Linked DNA regions of Mus musculus. The protein of the gene in region 2 interacts with the protein of the main gene of each other region in a pairwise test. Links are inferred from orthologs where the notes say so. Each region holds a gene or a part of one and is shown on either strand. Other genes may lie near its edges.

Region 1 (4,446 bases), on a different chromosome or scaffold from region 2:
ATGACCAAAGTTCTCACCCTTTTTTTCAAGTGGGACTGTACAGGTGTGGAGAGCTTTAAAAACTCACCAAAATACAGATATACAAGGATTAGATTTTAAAGTTTTTTTTTTTAAGATATTAACAACCTCTGTATTTTACCGCTTCCACTAGCCCCAAGACGCTTTCCTATAAAACTTTCTTCTTGGCTAAATGTCCTAAGTCTGCATCGTCTCAGATTAAATGCAGAATGGAGCCTGAAGTGGGCAAGAGGGCTGGAATAGCTGTAAGGAACATTTGGAGTTGACTCAGTTATCTTGCTGATACAAATGCTCCACTCTTAGGCCATTGAAACCTACTGGGCTTTGGAGGCAGCTTCAAACCCAGCAGCCATTCTGCATTGATAAGGGAGTGGTGGCGCTTGGAGCACAACCCTCAGGTTGCCCATGGTGCCGACTTCTTGGCTCCAGTGCGGCCATATGCTCCTTCCTCCATCAACTCAGCCAGCAGAACTGTGACACAACCTGACACACTTCCTTTCCTTACGCTTTCTGTGCCCAAGTTTATGACAGAATTGAGCCAGCTGGATTTAGTCTGTCTAGCTCTTCTACAGACTTGTGAATGTGTTTTTGAAAGTGAGAATATGAATGAATAGGAATGAGAATGGGTTTATTCTGGCCTCTGAGACATTCTCTTCCATAGCATTTCCTGCCCATTTACATGGCACAGAAGTAGCTGGCCAGCACTTAGAATCTTCAAAAGCTGAAATGCCCAGAAATGCTCCTACAATAAGCATCTGATCACCGCAGTCCATCTGACCTGGCATCACACACACACACCCAGCTAGGGCCTTTGAAGGCTCCAGTGTGCTCCTTGTCTCCACTAAGGAGATAGCATGAACTAAATAACAAAACAAGTTAACTTCAAAGAGGCTTTTAAGTCTAAAAAGGAACAAAAATGTGTATTAGACTCCTAAAGGGAAATACAGTAAATGGAGTTTGGGGGACAGAGGCTTTTCCACTGGGGACAAACCAAGGAAAGCACTGGGAAAGGGTGTCATGTGAGTTAGGTTTAAGTCTGAGATCTCACCCAGATGAAGGTAGTATAGGGTGAAGTATTTCAAACAAAGGGAGATGCCTGGGCTGTGATTAGATTAGAGAAATCGAGAGTCTGCACTACTTTTTCTTAAAGTGCAGATGCAGAGGAACCAGTGGAGGCTCCACAGGTCTGAGTCACAGTGACTGAGGAGAACTGCCTTTTGTCCACAAAAACATTTGGCAGTTTTGAGGTGGACATATGCATCCATTTTTTTTTTTTAAATACCAATCAAAGTTAGAACACCCAGTCCAAATACAAGACTATGGGGTAGAATCCTCAGGTCAGCAACCTTCACCCCCAAGGTTAGGGGAGAAATCCACTCTAGATTAACTTTTAACCTCCAGTCAAAACCGTTTTCAAAAAATTCCTTTGTAAGACCTGCAAAGGTTTTTACCAACTGGACTTTCCCGCCTAAACTCAGTACTCCCGGCCTTTCTGCGTCCAACCGCACTATCTGTTCCAGTTACTCTTTTCAGTCTTTCCTCTCTGAGGACATCACCCTCCATCACCAATCAAAAGCGTGGCGCTGAAAATAGGCTTCCTCATGTAAAGTGCACTTCTGGGTACTGGATCAGATCCCTATGAAACACTAACACCAGTCAATCTCCACCGAGCAGACATAGCTCCTAGCCCTACTCGCTTGCAGCACTTGGGTGACGTCCGCCAAAGACTAATAGCTAGCAGTCCTTGGAAGACTTCCTGTCCCCCGAAGGGGGAAAGAAAATCTAAGCACGTGTAAGTTTTAAAACATCAGTTGAGAAAACGTTCGCGCGGGATTTCAAGGTGTATTAGAAAAAAGAGACACGAGTGGGCCGAGCTATTGAGTGGAGAGATTAAAGGAAAACAAAACCAGAGAGCATCCAAGGGAGAAAAGATCAAGGGAGGAGACAGGGATAATAGGAACTGCGAGATGTGTGCCCCCAATCATTAAGGATGCACAAGGGTTATCAGTTCTGCAACAGCGGCGTTTCAAACACCGAGACACTGAGCAAAAAGAGGAAGAGTGCTTGGTTGGGCTCCAGCACGGAGGTGTGCCGGCACCGCGGGCTGAGCGGGGAGGAAATGACGAGCCAGAAAGGGGTGGTAACGGCGCCGGCCCGGGAGCCCCGGTGGCGGGCCGAGAGGAGGGGCGCGGCAGGCGCGCCAACGGCCCCGGGGTGGGTCTTGGGAGGCCGCGCCGCGCGTCTCAGTCTGGCCTCGCTCCGGATCTGTAGCCCCAACTGTGCAGAGCTCAGGACACACGGGCCTCGTCGGGGCCCGGAATGTGGGGACACACAAGGACAGGCCGTAGGATGAGGCTGGAACGACGTGGGGAAACCGCCACGGTCCGTGGCTGGGCGGTCAGCCACCTGACCTCTCGGGACCGAGGATCGGGGACCGGTGGCGCATCCGCCACCGGCCCCCGGAGACGATCCAGATCCCGAAAAGCCTGGCTCCAGGACGCCGTCCCAACGCTGGACGGCCCCTGCAGGCCTCCACCAACTCCGAGCCGGGGCTACTGGCTACCCAGCTCGGGCAGCCTCGGCTCGACTCCCGGGCTCGACGGACGCCTGGGCCTCTCCTGAGTGGTCAGCGAGACCCGCCAATCGGGGCGCTGGGGCCGGCTCTGGGCCGCTGGATATTGGCTCCTCATACTCACCGTGCCTCGCTCCCCCGGTTCGCTGCCCGCGCTGATTGGCTCCAGTACCGGACCCCGAAACCCAATCAGAGGCTCCAGCCGCCGCTGCCGCCGCCACTGCCGCTGCCTCGCAAAATGGCGAATCTGAACAAAGGGGAATCGGGCCTCCCTCCAACCGCCTTCGCGCAAGCGCCTTCGAGACCACGCCCCATAACCCCGGCCAGCCTGGCCCCGCCCCCTAGGAAGAGCACCGCGCAGGCGTTCCAGAGGCCACACCCACTTCCTGGATTTGACACCGCCTCCCGCCAAAGGCCTACGCAGGCGCCTTTCACACGCTCCGTACGCTGCTGCTTAAACACCTCCCTGAATTATATACCACGCAGGCGCTGACACGCCCCCCTGCCCACCTATTTCTAAGCGTCCACTGGGACCCACCCTCTGGGGCCGAATGCGCAAGCGCTCTTCTTCTCCAGTCGGGGTCGGCATCTCGGTACGCATGCCTGAGCGGTAGCGGGAGCCTACGGAATTTCCCGCCGGAAATTCTGAAGCCCTTACTACCGAGAGCGGGCGCCGCTACCCAGCTAGAGAGGCTCACTTCCGCCCCGTTAAGGGATGGGGGCGGCCATCTTGAGTGTGCGTACAATCAAAAGGCTTTGGCGGGATTTGTTGCGTGTCGGGACTCTTCTGTTGCTTTCCTACCTACGAGGGTTTCATCCCGAACCCTTCCCTGCTTGGAGGAGGGCCTGCTGACGGCCGATTCCTTTGCAGGTGAAGGATGACCCCCCAGTACCCACTTTTCTGCGGGATCCCAGGGTTGCCCTCCTTAGGGTAGGAGGAGAGACGGGGAAGTCTTATCAGACCTTCCTTCCTGTACCTCCAAGACTGGTGGTGATCTTCCCCTGAGAAGCAGTTCTCGGCTCACCCTGCCGCTCAGTGTAACTGTGGCCAGGTCTTTCCCGTTCTAAGCTATATTCTCTGGGAAAATTCTGGACTGTCCTAAACCTTCCCTGCTAGAAGTAAGGAGGTGTGTCTTAGGACCGCCTTTGCTTCGGCTCCTGGAAAGCTGTTTTGTGTTGCCTCTTAGAGGCTGAGTGAGCTCACATCCAGAAAGAATACCTTAAGGAGGTGGGGAAGACTAAATGGGTTGTCAGGGTGATCTGAACACGCTATGTTCGGGCTGCCTGAGCGGTATTTTTTTACTTGCTTTTCCTTTTCATTAGCAGAAGGAACTCTTAAATTCTGGAAATAGCGACTCAGTAGCATGGCCACCCGCCTTAATGAAGATCCAGAAGGAAGTCGAGTGCGTAACAGCTATTAAATTTATCGGTGAAGTGAAAATCAGAATAATTGAGGTCAAAAGCATAAACACTTTTTAATTAAACCAATAATTGGATTCTCGCCCCTCCCTGTTTGTTTCTCTCTAGCTGATTTACTTAGAAAAGGCTAATACAACCCTAGGCAGATAATAACCATCCATCACTTTCCTTTTACAGATACTTTAAAATATCGTGGTTAACTCCTAAGTTGGGAAGAGTTGTCTTTAATTCAGAGTGTCAGAGAAGCAGGGTTGAAGCAGTGGGGGTGGGGCTCTGTTGAAGATCTGAAAGGAGAAATAGTTTTCTGTTTTTAACCTTTTTTTTTTTCCTTTGCACGTTTTAGATCACTTACGTGAAAGGAGATCTTTTCGCATGTCCCAAAACAGACTCTCTAGCCCATTGTATCAGTGAGGATTGTCGAATGGGTGCTGGAATAG
Region 2 (4,581 bases):
ATATCCTTAAAATAGACGGAAAGGTGGGGCTTGATAACACGCACTCTAGTAAGGCAGCCGGAAGTCGCTGTCTCGAGCAGCCCCGCCCTAAGGGACGACACACGGGCCGGCTCGGAAGTGACGACACCGAGCACGCCATTAAATAGCAGTAGGCCTCCCTCTCCGCCCTCTCGGTCTTAGCGCCATCTTCCTTGGTTAGTCGCGGGGTTTTCTGGCGTTCGGGTTTCCAGTGCAATCCGTTAACATCCGACCTCCACATTCACTATCATCACAGCGGGCTAACGGCATTTTTCCCTCTTTCTCTCTAGAGACTCCTGCGCCATGAGAGCGAAGGTGAGCGGCTCTTAGGTGGTGAATCGGGCACCTAGTCCCCGCCATGGTTCCTCTGCGGGCTTCCAGACGGTTTGCCTCGGGTGTTCGCAGTCAGGGAGAGGCTTAAAATTCTTGCTGAAGAAAAGATGGGGTGGGAAAATGAGGGATTCGGCTCTAAAACTGAACCGGTGTCCTTTGTCAAGCCCTGTGTTCTGAGCAGTTTCATGGCCTTGCACAAGCCTGTCTCTAACATTCTTTTTTGTCTCCTCACATGATCGGGTTTTTTTAGTGGCGGAAGAAGAGAATGCGCAGGTACGTTTAATTTTTCAAGACTACCTTGGGGCAGTGGGGGCAAGCTCGGTGTGGGATATTTGGTTGGAAGAAAATATCTGGCGGGAAGGAAGCAGGAGTCGCCGCCCAGTACAGCAGAGCTGGTGCTTGTTAATCTCATCGTCTCTTGTACTCGTGCACTAAGTGTACGTATTGATAGATGTGCAAAGGAAAAAAAAAAAACTCAGGTTTGTGTGCCTTCCATTCCAGGCTGAAGCGCAAGAGAAGAAAGATGAGGCAGAGGTCCAAGTAAGCCAGCCCGTGCACCTACGACGCCTGCAGGAGCAGAAGTGAGGGATGCTGAGGGCCGGGACAAGCTATCGGACTGTGTGCTGCCATCGGTAATGAGTCTCAGTAGACCTGGAACGTCACCTCGCCGCGATCGCCTGGAGAAATGACCGCCTTTCTTACAACCAAAACAGTCCCTCTGCCCTGGACCCCCGGCACTCTGGACTAGCTCTGTTCTCTTGTGGCCAAGTGTAGCTCGTGTACAATAAACCCTCTTGCAGTCAGCTGAAGAATCAAACTGCTGTTACGTGTTTTTTTGCGGTTCCTTGGGGTGGGGACTCGAGTGTGTTTCTGTATAGGCGACATAGTTTGGGTGTTTGATCTGGCTGGAGCCGGTTGAGTGTGCGCCCGAGGTTAAGTTACAGAGTTGGTGCGTTCACAGCGCCACTCCTACGTTTTGGGGGTACCACTGCGTAGAACCTGACGCTGAGCGGAGTTCCGGGTCCGGCGGAGTCCTGTTACCATGGTGATGCGCAAGGCTTGTTGGGAGCTTCCTGCGCCTACTAGCACGCAAGTTGGACCATAGAGTGTGTTTCCGGGTCTGGTAGCTAGAGCGTCTCTTTCTTCCGCAGGAAGCGGAAGAACCGTAGGGTGGGCGGCTCTTTGTCGAAGCTAGAGGACCGGCAGGCGGCAGCAGCAACTACGGCGGCGGCGGCAGGTGAGGGAGGCGGGAGACTTAGGTGGAGGCCGCGCCCGGAGGGGAGGAGTCGGGGATGGCCCAGCGACTGGGTTCTGCCCGGCCACACGAGCCTCCCCCAAACCCCCCGGAACCGACCTGGCTCTTCCTCGTTACCCAGGACAGAGCCCCTTTTCTCACTGACCTCGCTTCCCAAGCAAACGCCAGCCCCGTGACGTCACAGCCCTGCCCATCCCTCCGCCTGATGTCACCCCGAGCCCCCCTCCCCTTTCACTTCCTCAGTGTCCCAGTCACCTGGTCCACCGCTGAGTGCTGGCACCGCATCGCGGAGCCGGCCAAGCCAGAAGACTTCCAGGGAAACTCGTAGGACTTTTCGTGAACTCTAGGGTGTTGGGGGATGGTCGTAATCACCGCCCCCGAGTCTAGTCTCGCCTTCCCACTGACACTAGTCAGTTGTTGCCCTTGTCCAGCTTTCAGGTTTGGCTGGCGTTCCGAACTCCAACCCTAGATCGGATTCTGAACCCCATATCCTTCTCATCTTGAGGTAAAGCTCCGCTAACCTTCCTCACCAGGAACTGTTTTGTTTTTTAGTTCAGCTTCCCAATTTTTATTGGTCGGTTCTAGCCCTTATCCTTCTTAATAGGGACTTCTCCTTGTGATAGGTGACGTTCACTTTGACCTCTTAAGGGAGCCTAAAAGCCACAAAGCTCTTAGCTTTTTGTCAGAATTCATTCCAGTGTATGAAAACCACATCATATCCCTTTCACGTTTTTCCCTTGTTCTACTCAAATCTCCGTTTTTTGTTTTTTTGTTTCTTGTTCAGAACCCAGCAGTGATGTGGAGGTGGAGACTCACGGGAGCCCCGGACTTCACCTGAGCTACCTCAGGTATTAATTCTGGGATATTGGGGTGAGGAAGGCTATCATATCCAGTTATCTGCTTCTAGTGGGACTTGAAACATTGGTCAGGCTTTGAAGGCATTTAGTCTTCACCTGATCGTCATTTATGATCTTTTAAGGGCTTGTTTCTTACCAGTTGTTTCTTATATTCTGGGGCTCCTTTTCCCATCTTGTGTATTCCTGTGCATCTCTGACTTCTAATCTGGTTAGTTATTCTAGCAAAGTCAAGGAAGTCAAGGAAACGGGAAATCAAGAAAGGTATCTTTATTCCCAAACGGAAACTAGGAACTTCTCTTATTTGAACAGTAGGGGGAGCCTGAGTCCTACTCAGGGAACATTTAAAAGATTAGACACGTGGTAGCAGGGACTCCCAGTCTTAGACTCCCAGGGTTAGAGAGAAGGGAGGGCTAGAATTAGGGCAGTGGACTGACATTCCAGAGCTCTCTTGAGAAACAGGAGACTTAAAAAGCTTTTATAGAGTCTATAAATAAAGAGGATTTTTATGGGGTAAGGAGTGCTATGGTTTGATATCAGTGGGATTTTCATGGAGTGGGGTGGGGAATGGGGAAAGAAAGGTCACCGTTCCTATGAAAGTAACTCCTTTCCACCTTGTCCTTCGAACAGTTCGTCCTGGGGATCTAAAAGTAGAAAGTTCAGCTCAGAACGTCTTTCCATGAAATGAGGGTGTTTGTGTGTGGAACACACTGGGAGATGGACAGGTTTCAGGGTTACCCTGTAGCTAGTGACACCAGTTTTGTTTTGTTTTGTTTTGTTTAACCAGGGATTTCTAAAATACATGGAGACTTGAGCTGAGTTTACGTAGAAGAGGGATTAAGGGAAGTTCTGTTTCTGGTGTTCCTTCTTCCATGAGTTCTCAAAGCTAAGCAGCCCGTGTTAGAGCACTCTTTCCAGTGTCAGTCTGTTCACACACCAACACCTGTTTTAGTTTCTCCCTCACAACTTAAATGAGAGAAGGTAAAAATCTAACACTCTCCCCTTCCCTCCCCCTCCTTGGCTGAGCATCATTAGTAAGATGAAGTGGCTTCATCCCAGCTCTCTCCCTCCTGTGTTAGCCAGGCAAGTGTGAATCACTCCAAACAAGACCAGGTGCATAAGGGCCTGGGCGGGACTTCTGGCAAGTCAGCCGGGCTAGCTAGAATTCTCCTTGGATTCTCCATCTCCCAAAGCCATTGCCCCAGAAGCCTGCCCACTGTATGGTCAGGAGAGAGGGAGCTTTCCGGAGGACCCCTTTCTGACACAGTTCTCTTTTTTAACAGTCGCCAAGAGTGGCAAGAAAAGGAAGAAGACCCTGACTTGGGGGGGACCAGGATGCCTGACCGGGACAGCTATGCCAACGGCACTGGCAGCAGCGGTGGAGGCCCTGGAGGTGGTGGCAGTGAGGAGGCCAGTGGGGCAGGGACAGGCAGCGGGGGAGCCACCTCAGATGCCATCTGTAGAGACTTCCTGAGGAACGTCTGCAAACGAGGCAAGCGATGTCGATACCGCCACCCAGACATGAGTGAGGTATCCAATTTGGGGGTAAGCAAAAATGAATTTATCTTCTGCCATGACTTCCAAAACAAGGAGTGTAGCCGCCCCAACTGTCGTTTCATCCACGGCTCCAAGGAGGATGAGGATGGCTATAAGAAGACAGGAGAGCTGCCTCCCCGGCTGAGGCAGAAAGTGGCCGCTGGGCTGGGTCTCTCACCCGCCGACCTACCCAATGGTAAGGAGGAGGTCCCCATCTGCCGCGACTTCCTCAAAGGTGACTGTCAGAGAGGAGCCAAGTGCAAGTTTCGTCACCTGCAAAGGGATTTTGAGTTTGATGCTCGCGGTGGAGGAGGCACTGGAGGTGGAGGCTCCACAGGCTCTGCTCCCCCAGGACGCCGTCATGATCTCTATGACATCTACGACCTTCCGGAAAGGGGCTTTGAGGACCACGAACCAGGCCCTAAGCGCCGGAGAGGTGGCTGCTGCCCTCCTGACGGCCCCCATTTCGAGTCCTACGAATGTAACTTGGCTCCGCTCCGTGGGGTTGAGTGCAGACTGCTGGAGGAGGAGAACGCCCTGCTCAGGAAACGCGTGGAGGAGCTGAAGAAGCAGGTCAGCAACCTG

Evidence for each region.
Region 1: the proteins of Zc3h10 (region 2) and Nfya interact in binary tests that used the Homo sapiens proteins (3 or more experiments, as listed by UniProt). The two-hybrid records come from large-scale screens. The link is inferred for Mus musculus from reciprocal best matches to the Homo sapiens genes ZC3H10 and NFYA.

Annotation. Positions count from the first base shown.
Region 1 is NC_000083.6:48,406,912-48,411,357, forward strand, and holds the start of Nfya (nuclear transcription factor Y subunit alpha), read right to left. Parts: upstream 2,910-4,446; 5' UTR 2,715-2,909; intron 1-2,714. Other genes in the region: ADP-ribose glycohydrolase OARD1, read left to right, coding at 3,955-3,993, 4,353-4,446. UniProt on the Homo sapiens protein: Component of the sequence-specific heterotrimeric transcription factor (NF-Y) which specifically recognizes a 5'-CCAAT-3' box motif found in the promoters of its target genes.
Region 2 is NC_000076.6:128,544,701-128,549,281, reverse strand, and holds the start of Zc3h10 (zinc finger CCCH domain-containing protein 10), read left to right. Parts: upstream 1-1,535; 5' UTR 1,536-1,588; exon of another isoform or gene 1,589-2,111; intron 2,112-2,390; 5' UTR 2,391-2,454; intron 2,455-3,743; 5' UTR 3,744-3,795; coding exon 3,796-4,581. Other genes in the region: Rpl41 (60S ribosomal protein L41), read left to right, coding at 322-333, 602-624, 853-895. UniProt on the Homo sapiens protein: Specific regulator of miRNA biogenesis. Binds, via the C3H1-type zinc finger domains, to the binding motif 5'-GCAGCGC-3' on microRNA pri-MIR143 and negatively regulates the processing to mature microRNA.